Linked DNA regions of Saccharomyces cerevisiae S288C. The gene in region 1 interacts genetically with each later gene. Each region holds a gene or a part of one and is shown on either strand. Other genes may lie near its edges.

Evidence for each region.
Region 2: mutations in NUP42 (region 1) and POM34 together harm fitness more than expected from each alone (negative genetic interaction), as found in Saccharomyces cerevisiae (5 studies listed by BioGRID, with this or other methods).
Region 3: mutations in NUP42 (region 1) and ASM4 together harm fitness more than expected from each alone (negative genetic interaction), as found in Saccharomyces cerevisiae (4 studies listed by BioGRID, with this or other methods).
Region 4: mutations in NUP42 (region 1) and SLX9 together harm fitness more than expected from each alone (negative genetic interaction), as found in Saccharomyces cerevisiae (3 studies listed by BioGRID).

What each region holds. Positions count from the first base shown.
Region 1 is NC_001136.10:842,979-847,102, forward strand, and holds NUP42 (FG-nucleoporin NUP42), read right to left. Parts: upstream 1,884-4,124; coding exon 591-1,883; downstream 1-590. Other genes in the region: NAD-dependent histone deacetylase HST4, read left to right, coding at 1-471; MSS116 (ATP-dependent RNA helicase), read right to left, coding at 2,974-4,124. UniProt on the Saccharomyces cerevisiae protein: Functions as a component of the nuclear pore complex (NPC).
Region 2 is NC_001144.5:177,889-181,286, forward strand, and holds POM34 (Pom34p), read right to left. Parts: upstream 1,719-3,398; coding exon 819-1,718; downstream 1-818. Other genes in the region: MEU1 (S-methyl-5-thioadenosine phosphorylase), read left to right, coding at 1-733; PSR2 (putative phosphatase), read left to right, coding at 2,400-3,398. UniProt on the Saccharomyces cerevisiae protein: Functions as a component of the nuclear pore complex (NPC).
Region 3 is NC_001136.10:297,697-302,073, forward strand, and holds ASM4 (FG-nucleoporin ASM4), read right to left. Parts: upstream 2,308-4,377; coding exon 721-2,307; downstream 1-720. Other genes in the region: NUR1 (Nur1p), read left to right, coding at 1-578; LUC7 (Luc7p), read right to left, coding at 2,518-3,303; YDL086W (carboxymethylenebutenolidase), read left to right, coding at 3,717-4,377. UniProt on the Saccharomyces cerevisiae protein: Functions as a component of the nuclear pore complex (NPC).
Region 4 is NC_001139.9:642,373-645,787, reverse strand, and holds SLX9 (Slx9p), read left to right. Parts: upstream 1-2,007; coding exon 2,008-2,640; downstream 2,641-3,415. Other genes in the region: GCD2 (translation initiation factor eIF2B subunit delta), read left to right, coding at 1-928; TOM complex receptor protein TOM20, read right to left, coding at 1,193-1,744; twinfilin TWF1, read right to left, coding at 2,780-3,415. UniProt on the Saccharomyces cerevisiae protein: Involved in ribosome biogenesis. Required for normal pre-rRNA processing in internal transcribed spacer 1 (ITS1). May be involved in the movements of the replication forks.

The DNA.
Region 1 (4,124 bases):
AGCATAAAACACATGGAATGCAATAAATGTCTGAATATCAAACCTTTTGACCCTGAACTGTTCAAATGCGACGACAAATTTGATTCTCGGACTGAAATCATACCGTCATGTCCACAATGTGAAGAATATGAAACAGTTAGAAAAATGGCAGGCTTAAGATCTACTGGTGTGGGCAAGTTGCGTCCAAGAGTAATTTTATACAATGAGGTCCACCCTGAAGGTGATTTTATCGGTGAAATTGCCAATAATGACTTAAAGAAAAGAATTGATTGTTTGATTATTGTTGGAACGAGTTTGAAGATTCCCGGAGTGAAAAATATTTGCAGGCAGTTTGCGGCCAAAGTCCATGCAAACAGGGGTATTGTGTTATATTTAAACACCAGTATGCCGCCTAAGAATGTGCTAGACTCTTTGAAATTTGTAGACCTAGTTGTACTGGGAGATTGTCAGCATGTTACCTCATTATTATAGAAAGTATTTGTCCTACCAAAAAAGGTTGGAGATAAAATTAATGCATTTTTCATTAGATATATATATATATTCATATATATTGTTTAAGTTACCATTTTGTATGTTTTTCTTTGACCTTACTATGCAACCAATGCAGGTGGTGGAGGTATATCAGGGACAAGGCCTAGTTCAAACTTGTTTGCTCTGAATATTTTCAGTGTTTCCTCTGCGAGATCGGCCAATTCTAGAATACCGTCCTTTTCAGAAGATAACCCTTGAACAAATCTAATTTTTCCGGTGGCCGTATTAGCGTTGACATTAGTAGCATTCATCTGTTGTTGTCCAAATCCAAAAGAGGTTGCGTTACCATTGCTCTTCAAACTTATGTTCGGATCTGTGTTTGGCATTGTTTGCCCAAATGAAGGGTTCGATTGCGAGACTTTGTTGGCATCGTTTTGTGGTGTAATTCCGAATGAAAACCCTTTATTACCAAAAGAAGATTGAAAGTTGCCATTGGTATTTTTATTGAGGTTAGAAGCAGAACCAAAGGTGCCCCCAGAACCTCCGCTAAAAGGAGATTGATTATTCGTCGTTCCGAATGCGCTACTGCCCACGTTATTGTTGTTGTTAGCTTTGGAGGTTGTAGTACCAAACGGCGAAGAACCAGCGCCTGCTCCGCTCTGTAGATTACTAAAAGGTGATTTGTTATTACTATTAGTTCCAAATGTGCCAAATGGGGATACTCCTGTCCCACTGCTTGTACTTGTATTTTGAATAGTACCAAATGGCGACTGGGTATTAGTAGCTGCGCCGAAAGTCGGTTTGCCAAACGCTGACGATGTAGATGATGCATTTTGTGATGCGTTTTGTTGCAGTGAACCAAAAGGAGAAGTTGTGGTCAAGGGCGTGTTTGACGCAGCACCAAATGCGGAGTTATTACTATTACTAACCGAACTAGAAGGGATAGCAGTTTTGTTCGCTCCAAAAGCTGGTTGACCAAATGCAGAGCCCATTGAGCCAGGACTTTTACCAAAAGGATTACTTGTCGCCGCCATAGCACCAAAACCTGTTGATCCAAATGACGGTGCTCCAAATGCTGACGTAGTAGAAGGCGGATTAACATTGATGGGGGCGCTAGAACCAAATGCTGGTGCTCCAAATGCTGACGGTTTAGCCGCATTACTGGTGTTCCCAAAAGCGCTAATTGACGTATTGCCAGTATTGCCTGTATTGGTACCAAACTGGGGCATTCCAAATGCTGAAGTGGTGGTTCCTCCTGTCATTGTGTTTGCTGTTCCAAAACTAGGTCTTCCAAATGCACTTCCTCCCATGTTATTGGTACTAGCAGCATTATTTGTGAAAGGGTTGATACCACTTGTATTAGAAAGATTAGGCTTAGCACCCGACGTGAATGGGTTACCGAAAGCTGACATTACAGTTGAGTCGTTGCTCGGGTCGAAATTTAATGATAGCTTGATGAGCTTTTGCGTTAAAGTACAACAGTTCAGTGTTATAGTACTTTAAACATTGTGCGCTCATCTATTGATTCACTATTTTTTTTCAAATACCTTGCACCCTCAGTCGGCGTGTTTCTTGATATGCAGAATTAATATATTTCTAGATGTCAGTATATTAAGGTTAGCCCTTTGAAACGTATTATGATGTCGTTACCTTCAGCGTCGTGGTTTAGGTTTCATGTCTTGTCCTCTCGCGAATACTTTTATTTCGAAGCTAATTTACTATATAAAGAAGGTTGAAATCGCATGATAAGCTAAACAGCGTAAATAGAATTGCCGGAGCAAAATTCGTATAAGACATAATTTCCCTCCAGGCCGTAGCCAGATTAATGCTCAGTACACTGTAAAGAATTTTTTGTTTATTTTTAAGATAAGACAAGATGTCATTGATATTATTGCTAGATCACTAACAAATGGTATTTATTGATTTTTCTTTCGCAGAGCGGCACTTTAACTAGGATTTAATCATAAAAAAAAAAGTGATTGACACTGTTATTCAGTTCTGGACTATCGTATAGACTATTTTCATTGTTAATAGGCTCAGCTGTTCATAAAATATGTGAAAATTTTTCAACGATTACCAAGCCCACGATTGTCTCGTTGGCAATATTCAGAATGAAGTTTTCGTAATATGGCTATGTCCGTGATCAATCGCCTAAGACACCCTGACTTTTCAAGTAAATTCTCAAAAGCTTTCTTCCATCCGTTTAAATAAGAATTACAATGTTAGAATTACTTTTCCTTTGAGAGGAGGAAGAGCGAAAGTAAGAATGGAGGTACCGGTCGTAAATAAGCATTGACGAATAAATATACCAGTAGGATCTTCGTATAGTTATCATTTTAAGAGAATAGGAGAAGAAAAAAAATTTTTGTTTAATATTTATATACTAGGTATTTACACGTGAAAGTATTGAATCAAGATGGGGTCTAAAATACAGGCGTCTTAATAGAGGAATTGTTATTTAAAATACAACCCACATCTCTTGGTCCTCCTTTTTTATCTTTTCTAATATATGTTGCTGTTTCTACTGGAGTAATTATTTTTATCATTACTACGGGAGAATGAGCGTCTATTGTTGTTGCTGCGTCTAAACGGTTCGTCATCGTAATCTCTATTTTGGCTCCTATTATTATAGTTTTTGTTGCCTCTGAAAGAAATTTCTGAATCATCATCATAATCGTAGGACTTGTTATTTCCATCTCTACTACTATAGTCTCTAATTTCAAACATTGCCTTACCAATTGGACTACGGCTCAAACCTAATTTATCTAAAAACCTTCTGGATACTGGAATCTTTAATTGAGGATCATTTAACAGTACACCATAAGTGGAAGCAATTTCAGGAAGTATGCGCCTTTCAGAAAACCTGTATTCCTTGATACAGGATCTGTAGGATGAGATTAAACTTATTACAATATCTGATATGTCTTCCGGTTCTTCGGTCACTGCCTCTAGGACCTCAGATTTTATTTCTTCACTGGGCTCATATTTTTCTTGTTTGGCAATGACTATATTTTTTGCATCTTCCAACTCTCTAACAAATGGCAATTCATCTTTACAAATGAATAGCACAGAAGATCCTTCTTTCCCACTTCTGGCTGTTCTACCAATTCTATGAATATAATTAGCCAACTCAGATGGAACACCAATTTGCAAAACTTCGTGGACGTTTGGGAAATCCATACCACGGGCTCCCACATCCGTACAAACCAAAATACCGGATTCATCTTTTTTGAATCTTTTAACTAAACTTGTTCTTTTATTTTGAGTAATTTTACCATGAAATTCCAAAATTGGTAAATCTTTCTTAAATTCATTCTTTAAAATACTGCACAAAAAGGATGTGAATTTAACAGTTGGTGCAAAAATAATGGCTTTGTAATTAGAATCTCTTTCCTTTATTTGTTTCTTTATATGCTCCACAGCAGCAAATATACTATTGGCAAACTTTTCTGAAATGACGACAGACTGATCAATTCTTTCATGTGCTTCAGGTTCATTCTTATCTACTGTGTCTAAAAAGAGACATTCTTTTTTATTCATGATATTGTTTGCCAACTTTTGTACTTTGTCGTCCAGAGTAGCAGAGAACAACAAAGTCTTGATATTATCGGCTGATTTGGAGTTCTTTTCATTTAAAATACCAGAAATAGTTT
Region 2 (3,398 bases), on another chromosome or scaffold:
ATACCCACCCACTAAAGTCCCATTTAGAGCAAACATGGCGGCCTTAAAGAACTTAAATTGTAAAGCCGTTCTTTCTTTTAGTGCCGTGGGGTCTTTACAACCCCATATAAAGCCTAGAGATTTTGTGTTACCACAGCAAATAATCGACAGAACTAAAGGCATAAGACATTCTTCATATTTCAACGATGAAGGCTTGGTAGGTCACGTTGGTTTCGGACAGCCGTTCTCTCAAAAATTCGCAGAGTATATCTATCAATTCAAGAACGAGATAACAAATCCTGAATCCGAAGAACCGTGCCATTTGCATTACGACAAGGATATGACCGTTGTGTGTATGGAAGGCCCACAATTCTCCACGCGCGCTGAATCCAAGATGTACAGAATGTTTGGTGGCCATGTTATTAACATGAGTGTTATTCCAGAAGCCAAATTGGCGCGTGAGTGTGAGCTGCCTTACCAGATGATTTGTATGTCTACCGATTACGACGCATGGAGAGATGAGGCAGAACCTGTTACCGTAGAAACCGTTATTGGTAATTTGACGAATAATGGGCGCAATGCAAATATTTTAGCTTCTAAGATCATCGTCTCAATGGCCAAGGAAATCCCAGAGTTCATGCATACTGGCGATGGGCTGCGCGGTTCCATCAAGAAATCTATCTCTACCAAACCAGAGGCTATGTCCAAGGAAACCTTAGAAAGACTAAGATACTTATTTCCAAACTATTGGTAATGGTTGCCGCTAATCATATGTAAAATATAAATAGGAGAGAAAACATATATAGCTATGGAAAGTATTAAATGTTTTTTTGCTGTTTTTATATTTTCCCCCTTGGGGACTGTGAGTTCATCATATATGCATATTTGCTACTTGGAATGTAGCCCTTCCTAGTTACAGGGGTATGCGGCGAGTTATTGTCATTGTTAGCGCTCACTAATGTGCTACTGATACCGCTATGCCTCTGCAGTGTGCCAAATACATTCTTTGTGTGTAAGGATTGAGATTGTAGTTTCGTCTGTTCCTCCGCCATTTCCCTTTGTCTTGCTTTCAAAGGCGTCTCTAAGCCTTTGAAGAGATATGCTGGATGATTTTTGAGATTTGTTTGAGGAATATGTGTTTTGTTCTGTGCCATTTGGCTGATCTTAGAAGTGGATACGTAGTGGGGGTGTTGTGGCTGCAACCCAGTATCGACAGATGATTGCATGTCTACCCCCAGGAGCTTCTTTTGCCTGTCAGTGAGATTCAAATCACTTACTTTGACGGTGGATAAGAGCTTCCAAAGAGAAAACAGTATATTGAGCGAGATTAATAGGTGGAACAAGTAGTCAAGAAGTTCTGCATTCAACCAACTGAACGTGGTGTGATATATGATGTTAGCCTTCTTTAACGTGTGAAATGTCAACATGTACAGATGGATTCTGGATAGCCGGTTGCAAAACTGTCTCCCAACATGAGTGTTGTTCCAAAAGAACTTGATGAACTTCACCAGCAGGTTCCAGAACGCAAACGCAATTACGTTTGTCATAATTCTCTGCGTCTCCATTTCCTTGTTTACCGTTCGCCGTGATAGCTCCTTGAGCACAGGACTTTCAAAGTTGCCCAATTTAAACATTGGTGTGTCATTTTGTGATTGTGATGAGGGTTTGCTGTCTGTGTCCGGCAATGGTCCCGGCACGTCATTATCGTCCAGGCCCAATTGGCCCGCCTGAATCTTCATAGTTCCCTCTATTATTTTTTTGCCTCTGCGGATATATTAAAAGTCTGTATATTGTCAAGTTCTTATAATATAAATCTTTTTGTTCATCATAACCATCTTATTAATTGTTATTATTTCTATCATTATTACTATTAGCACAAATTTCATTTTTTTTTTTTTTCATTTTTCTTTAGACTTTAGCCCTAATTAGACCTGAGAAATATTATTATAACCTGAGAAAGGTTTATAAAAAGAACATTATAACCTACAAAAAAGATACTTAAACCCTGAAGTTAATAGGTTTGGACCCTCTTTTTTTTTTTTTGCTTTTTTTTAGAAAACCTCAGTATTCACAGTCTAAGGAACAGATAAAGAGAAGCTTTATGAAAGCAGTCCACAGTGCCACGAACTTTGACATATATAATTGACTTGTGGGGGCTACCGACTGGCTTATATTTCTAAAATTTAGAGATTTGATTATCTTTTTCGCAGCGCGTAAAAGAAACCCACGAAGCATCGCTTAATTTACACATATTCTTCGTTCTCCCCTTTTGGAGAGGATTTAAGCTAAGATATATCTTTCTTCGAGCGCAGTGCTGCTTTTGAGTTCTTTCGTTTTAATTTTCCACTTATTTGGCAATAAAAACTGAGTGAAGAGTGCTTCTCTGTCTGTTTTAGGGAGCTTTTTCAGATCATCATCAGATGGGATTTATAGCAAATATACTGTGCTGTTCTTCAGATACTTCCAAAACACATCGTCAACGCCAACCACCAGAAACTAATCACAACCGCAACCGCAACCGTAAGCACAGTTCAAACAAAGCTCAAACTCAGGGTCGTAAGCAGAAGGCTACTCCAAACGGCGACAAGATGCAATATTCCACACCGGAGATCCTTTTGTCTAGTTCCGATTCAGGCAGCAATGCGGGTTCCAAGACAATGCAGGAGAATGGGAATAGCGGCAATGGAAAACTAGCACCTTTATCAAGAGATCACTCCAACAACTCGTACGATGAGGAGAAAGAATATGAAGATTATAATGAAGGAGACGTAGAAATGACGGAGGTTAACAATGCCGGAGAAGAAGAAGAAGAAGATGACGAAGCAAAAGAAAAGCAAGACCATGTCGTTCATGAATATAACGTTGACGCAGATAGAAATTCCAGTATTAATGACGAGGCGCCACCACAACAGGGTCTGTATCAGGTGGGTCAAGAAGATATGAATCCACAATATGTCGCCAGCAGTCCTGATAATGATTTAAACTTGATACCTACAACGGAGGAGGACTTCTCTGACCTGACGCATTTGCAACCAGACCAGTACCATGCCCCCGGATACGACACTCTGCTACCACCCAAGTTGCAAGAATTTCAACAGAAAAAATGTCTGATATTGGATCTAGACGAAACTTTGGTACATTCTTCCTTTAAATATATGCATTCAGCTGATTTCGTTTTGCCCGTCGAAATCGATGATCAAGTTCACAATGTCTATGTTATTAAGAGGCCAGGCGTCGATGAGTTCTTGAACAGGGTGAGTCAACTATACGAAGTTGTTGTGTTCACGGCAAGTGTTTCGAGGTATGCAAACCCCCTTTTAGATACGTTGGACCCTAATGGAACCATCCATCATCGATTATTCAGAGAAGCTTGTTATAACTACGAAGGTAACTACATCAAGAACTTATCGCAGATCGGA
Region 3 (4,377 bases), 550 kb from region 1:
TGATTTTATCAAGTGCAGCTTTGCAAGAATATGAGGACAAGCATATAATGGCACGAATTAACCAATGCAGCAATATAGATACTCTATCATCTGCAATGGGTACTAGATCTAAAACACCGAGAATATTCACCACTCACTCCCTATGTGGCGAAGAAATCAGAGAGGTTTATAATTATGAAAAAAGGGAATTTGAGGCATTACCGAAAATGACAGAAAGTGTGCCAGGATCCCGTGAAACCAGAATAAAGGATTATGGAGGCATTTCTCAAGTATCTGACCATCAAAGTCATCCCATTGGTTTTCATTATTCTCCTAGAATGTCCCCATATTATAGGGATAAAGTTTTGGATAACAATTTGGCTCAATCATCGTCAAATGAAAATTTAGAGAAGGGCGGAGCTTACCTGCCGAATCAAGACCAAAATAGACCATCGAAATCCCTGAGCCCATTGAGAAAAACGCCTTTAAGCGCACGACAGAAAAGGTTTGAAGGCTCAGAGTTCAATGTATTGAATAAGAATGATATTAATTCCATTCTTCGCTCTCCAAAGAAAAAGAAGAACTATCACAAAAGATAACGTTTCTTAATTATGTCTAAGTATATACAGTTACGTAAAAATCAATAAACAAAAGTAAAACAATGCTGTTTGAAAAGTTATCAAAATAATAAATGTATGAAGTATTGTAAATGTTCATGAATAATTAGCTGGACGATTTCTGTTATAGGTCATTCCAACCAAATAACCAATTACTCAGTTTGTGCGTAAAACCAGCAGGTTCATTATTTCTGTATTTCGCTTCTTGCTGACGCATTTTCGATTCTAGGTTTCGCAACAGATTAGGAATATTCGAATTCGGTCCTGCATTTTGCATGAATGGCAATTTGCCATCTATTACATCCAGCCGCTTATTCGGAGAATTTGCTACTATTGGACTTGAAATATTTGTTGGATTACCAGCATGACCGGCAGGAGTATTATCGTCTTCCCTCAGAAGAGTGCCATCAGTTATTATTACGTTTGGTGGGGATGGTGTATTAGATGTCGACGATGTGGAGGAATTTTGATACATAGAAACGTTGAATTCTCCAATGTCGTCGACATTATCAATTTTGCAGCCAGCTAATTGCTCCACCGCATTTTTTGAATATGGGATGCAACCAATCAAAGAACCGCGAAATATGGTTCCATTTTCCTGCAGTGCTCTCAAAGCAGAAGATGGAGAATTATAAGTGAGTTTGACCCAACTTTCACCAGTAAATATTGGATATTTTTTGTTATTCGACTCATTATTTCTGCCTTTTAAAGTAATAGATTTATTAACAGTAGAATCGTTTTCATCACAGCCTGTATCATGATTATGGAATATTCTGAAGGTGTTGGGGTTAATCCCGCGACCCAATCGCAATACTTGAAAGTCTTCCATAATATGACCGAAATGGGAGAAGTGTTCAATCAATTCATTGGAAATTGATTCAGGATAGCCAAATACGATAATTGCGCTCAAACTAGAAGACTTGGAAGATGTTTCATGGACTTTATTGTTTGTTTCGGCGGTGTTGTAATTATTATCTAAATGGTTCTGTTCAATGTTTGCTATTCTAACATAAGAGTCTTTATCAAAAACATTTGGAGTATTTTTGGAATCATAAGCTGACCTATTTGTTTTCTTCGCCGTGTATTTGTCGGTAACAAACTGAGTTGTTAATGATGGAATAGAACCGAATTCATCCTCGCGTTGCCAATCCTGTAAAGTAACGGAGGGTGGAATATCGTTAAAATTTGACAACAGAGAATTGATGTCATTATTTGCCGCAGACTTATTTCTTTCATTATGCTTGGAATCTTGATTTTGCTTACTGAAATTTCTCATAGTAGCGTTCATAGAAGATGAATCATCATTCTGGTTGATGTCAGAAGAAGAATTTTGCTTTGTTGTCTTCCTTCTTATCACCGTATGAGGAGTGAATCTCTTTTTAGGATTATTCACCCAGCTAGGATTATTCCCTTGGCCATGTTGGCTTATGTTATTTGTGCCGTTTTTAATGTTGTTGTTGTTGATGCTATTGTTACCGATATTACTACTATAGTTATTGGCGTTTACAGTATTGGAAAGTGAGTTTCCAAATCGTAAAGAACTTGCATCGGATGATCCATTGAATTGCAAGTGTTGCTGCTGTTGTTGTGGTTGCGGTTGCGGTTGTGGCTGCAACTGTGATTGCGATTGAAACATCTGGGTTGTCTGTGGTGCTTGCGACGTGAGGTTAGTAAATCCACCGTTATTATTGCCTGAACGTATTCCAAACATTTTAATTTGCCGTTCCTTGTTTTCAGGTTACAGAGAAAAAAAAAAAAAGAGAGCGAATAAAAAACTTAAATAGATAGGGAAACGATATGTCTACCTTATCGGGAAATAAACTATGCAGAGGTATGTGTGTGATATTCACAAACCTTTCTTCTTTCATAAGTACTCTCCTTCGAACAAAATTTTTCTAGCATCATTTTTTTATGTATGGCCCTACACAAAGCGTCTTCCGGGTAGTGTAGTAGCTGTCTTGCTGGCGTTAGTTGTCCGGTTATTCTTCATTAGCCGATCATAATCCTCTCTCATCTTGACATATCCCAGATGAATCTTCCCCAAGAAGTGGTCAGCAAGCCTTCTGTCTGTATCTAAACGCGATAGGTATGCCCCACACACCTCGCAAACCTGTAACTTTTGCTGGGCGCTCTGGCCCACGTTTTCTGTAATGTTTCGTACACGTTTTGCAACTTCTTTCCTTTTACTAATCAGTTCTTGTAATTTGACTGACTGTAGCATACCCATACTGACTTCATCTGCACGAATTAAAGAATCAATCTCTTGTCCCATTAGGCCTATCCGCACGTCCAAGACATCTAGTTCTTCGGTAACCTGCTGAATCTTCATTCGTTCCTCAGCGGTGTGTTTTAGATTTTGTAGTGCTACGGATATCTGGCCATTACACTCATTAACAAACCGAGATAGAATGGCCAGATATTCTCTTTCGAATTCGGGAAACGTTTTGCCCTGCTTGACCTCTCTCTCGTACTGAATTTTATGCTTGGTAAGATGCATCTGCGGGCATTTTCCCAGGCTCTGCTTGGTGCCCTGAAACAGGTCGTAGGGGCACTCGCCAACAAGGTATGACTTGCAGATCTTGGGATCGTGTAGTCCGAGGTCTCTTTTTTGATGCGAATACCTGTTGTGGCGGAAACTGAAGTCCCTGCCCATCAGCTGTTCGACGAGTTTGCGTTGTTCTGCGGCAGGCGTTGACATAGTTGACATTCTGACGGTAGTTGGCAGCTTTCTGCTGGGAGTGTAGAGCCTTTTGTAGTATAACTTTTTGTTCTTTTCTTTCTTCTCTAATGCCTGAGGCTTCGGCGGTTATTCGGGTAATACATTAAGGAAGTTGCCATGATGTGGAAGAATACGACTAGTCAGTTAGCGATGGCCAGCTCCTTTACCTAAATCATGTGGCCTATCTTCAGATAGCATACTACCACCAACCATCAATACCTCAATGGCTTTCAACAAGTACCCTTCGTCGGGTTTTCAGCTTTTTTCCTACTTTGCTGGATGCTTTGTGAAGATCAGGAAGAAATTTTATCGGAAAAACCTCACTAGGAGAAACTATATAAAAGAAGGGTCAGACTGAAAATGACGCCGTAATAAACTCGTGGTAGTAGATAAAGCAAACAATGTTGATTACTGAGACCTTTCATGATGTGCAGACATCATACGGCACCACTCTGCGTATATACGTATATTCTCCTAAGATTGCAGGCTATCCACAAGCTAAGTTTCCTGGGGTGATTCTGTACAGTGAAATTTACCAAGTGACGGGTCCGGTTCGTCGTTTTGGTCAAAGAATTGCGTCTGAAGGTTACGTTGTGGTGGCACCTGCCATATACCACAACTTTATGGGCCCTGAAGCGTTGCCCTATGACGTGCAGGGTACCGATATTGGTAACGAGTACAAGATCAAGAAGCCGTTAGAATCATACGATGAGGACAACAAACTGTGTTGCGATCTACTTTTCCAGTTACCCCAATTCGATGGTAAGAGAATTGGTTCCACAGGAATGTGTTTAGGTGGCCATTTGGCTTTTAGAGCGCTCCTGGACAAAAGGGTTACCTGCGCAACCTGCTTCTTCCCTACCGACATCCATTCCAGAACCTTAGGTCTTGGCCAGAACGATAACTCTTTGGAACGTGTTTCGAAGGAGTTGGGTAATAACCAAGAAATGGTTTTGATCTTCGGAACTGCGGACACCCATGTCGACCCGCAAGGCCGCGATCTAATCAGAAAGACCCTCAGAGACCACGGAGTAAAGTTTACGTTCTTGGAAATCCTGGCTG
Region 4 (3,415 bases), on another chromosome or scaffold:
TATCAGATGGTTAAAGCAAGAAATTTCATTAATTGACCCATCTACCCCCGACAAAGCCGCCAAAAAAGACCTTTGTGAGAAAATTGGGCAGTTTGCTAAAGAAAAAATCGAACTGGCTGATCAACTAATTATAGACAATGCCTCTACACAAATTGAAGAATCTACTACTATTGTGACATATGGTTCATCAAAGGTTCTAACTGAACTGTTACTGCATAATGCAATCAGTTTAAAGAAAAACATCAAAGTGATTGTCGTCGATTCGAGACCACTATTTGAAGGGCGGAAAATGGCAGAAACTTTAAGAAATGCTGGTGTCAATGTTATGTATGCACTTATTACAAGTTTGGATACGATATTCAATATGGATGTGGACTATGTGTTTTTAGGAGCCCATTCTATCCTATCTAATGGGTTCCTATATTCAAGAGCTGGGACAGCAATGTTGGCTATGAGCGCTAAGAGAAGAAATATACCTGTATTAGTCTGCTGCGAAAGTTTGAAGTTTTCACAAAGAGTACAATTGGATAGTGTCACATTTAATGAACTGGCAGATCCAAATGACCTGGTTAATATAGATTACGAAAATCCAGTCGAGAGACGCGGTAATAAAGGTGCGTTATTAAACCAATTTATCAAAGAAAGAAAATTTGAAAAGAAAAAGCTAGCAATGGAGAATAAGCCAAAGGGTAATAAAATTGGCGGTAAGAAAGGATCTGAAGGAGAAAGCAAGGACGCCAGTAATGAAGAAGACAGCAACAGCAAAAATATTTTGGATGGTTGGCAAGAGTTACCTTCGTTAAATATTGTCAACATCTTATACGATTTAACACCACCAGAATATATTAAAAAAGTGATCACTGAATTCGGCGCTTTGCCACCTTCATCTGTCCCTGTTATTTTAAGAGAGTACAAAGGTTCCGCATAAGCATATACAACATTCGTTAATGGTCGTCCACGTGTGTATACTACATATATATTATATATATATATATATATACATATATATATATATTACACCTAATACGATGAAAAAATACATCTAATGAAAAGAATTGTTTTTATCCTTAGCTTTCCAAAAAGCTTGGTATATATAACAAGATTTAGGCTAGAGAAATGATGTAATTATATAGGGCTATATACAGAGTAAAAGAAACAAAAACGGAGAAAAAAAGCAAGCAAAATGTTACTCTCAGTCATCGATATCGTTAGCTTCAGCAACCGCATCAGATTCGGCCTTGCTTCCAACAACTCCTTTAACGAAAGAAGCCACATTAGCAGGAGGCAAGATGGCAATCATTAATATAATATATTCGTAAATGGCTTCAGGAATGGATCTTTGGTAAATTCCCAATAAATCGGCTGGCTGAGGGTATACAGTCAATGCTTTATAAAACTTAGAGGCTGCTTCCAGTTCCTTACCTTGTTGCATGGATAATCTTTCACCATTTTCTACGTTGGTGGTAAATGTAGCTTCTCTTTCGGAGGGATCACTAGGGATGGGGTCCTTGGCTAATTCCATGGATAAGAATTCGGTAACCTTTTGCAGCTTCACTTCCTTAGCATGAGTTTTAGCTTGTTCTTCCATCTTGGCCTGCTCTTTGGCCCTTTGTCTCAACACTTTCCTGAATTGCGGGCTATTTCTTCTTTGATAGTCAAAGTAGATAGCATAACCGGTGGCTGATAGAGCTGCTATGGCTGTTGTAATAGCGAGGCCACGTAAGATAGGGTTCGACTGGGACATAATAGAAAATAAACTTTATGAAGGTGGCACTTGAGGCAATGTTTCTTGTAGGTCTAGGCGAAGGGACAATAGGTAAATAACGTAAATGTCGGCCATTATCAAGGTGAAATATTCCTGTATAAAAAATGTTATTCGGCGCGAGAAACTGAACGGGGTGACGCACTGCAAATTTTTCATGTTTTACATACTCAAGCATTACAGACTCGATGAGCAGAGATAAGAGACAGGAAATCCATTGAATATAGAAGCATAGATAAGCGATAATGGTTGCTAAGAAGAGAAACACGCTTAGAAGCAAAGTAAGTGCAAGAAATAGTCAAAATTTTGGACCAGACGTAGCGAACAATGGCATTCTGGACGAGAGTTATGACATAGAATCTGATCCAAGGGCCTTTCTGCACCAACCTAAAGAAACTAAAAAGGAAAAGCTACTTAACAGACAGAATACTTTCTTATCTAACTTGAAGGGGAAATCCACACTTAACGATGGCATAGCTGCCAATTTTGATGGTATTTCTAAATCTTCCATTAGACGTAGGAAAAGAAAGCTAAGAGAAGAACTAAAACCAAGAATGCAAGATCTGCTCACTTCTTTGGAGCAAGAAAAGGATTTACGGGGCATTATTGAAAATAGTAGCAAAGACATGAATAACGATGATGACATCGACATGGATTCTAAAATAAGGTTTGTGGACACAAAGGAAATGAACTTGAAAAAGATAGAACCTGGTTCTGTTAGGATAAAAAAGAATCAGCCAAATATCAGGAACCAAAAGGGTGCAAAGGCATTGGCTGCTAACGAAACTGCAAGATTCAATCAGGTCCTAACCAATCAAGATTTCCAAAAAAATCCATTTGGCGCCTTAAGAGAGGTTATCAAGCTGCAAAAACAATGAACATTAAATAGCATAGCATAACAATTTTTGCCAGTGTAATATATATTCCAGCAAACCTAGAAAAACATTCAGTTTCATATTTAGAAGAATAAAAACGTATGTATTGTTGGTCACACATATATAGATGCCATTTCTATCTCTATGTTCTTCTTTTCCTCAATGGGCCCTTTGGTTTGTTGAATTTCAAATTGCTTTTGTTTGGGAGATCTGGATTGGATCCATGATCGAGGCTATCTTCTTTATTTGTTGCCATAAGTAAGGACTTGTCTAGTTCCACAAAATCGCCAATTTCTACCACTTTACTAAATGCGATTTTTTGATCATTTTTCAAGTAGTTGATAAATCCATTCTTGTTAGAAGCATATATCATTCTATCTTTGACTTTGCTGCCAGAGGGACAAGAGTAGATAAAGAAACTTGAATCACCCTGCCTGAAAATCGTGTAACTTGGCCCGGGCAAGTCAATGTACAGTTCATCTACGGAGGGACATGTATCAGATTGCACGATCTGGATGGTTTCGTTCGAGGGATCGATTTGAAATATGATTAAATTTTTACCCTCGCTATCCAGTATTTCATTGATAGGTTTCTCAGAATTGACCCTGAAAGTTAACGATAAAGGCGAAGCACTGTCCTGAGAAACCAACTTGACGGATGTGTTTTTCCTTAAAAGTGCCTGTTGCTTATTGATTTCGATTTGCATTTCTTCATCATGTGTCAAGGGCTTATTCTGGCCAGCAGGACGGGCACTATCAAAATTTTTCAAATCCACCAA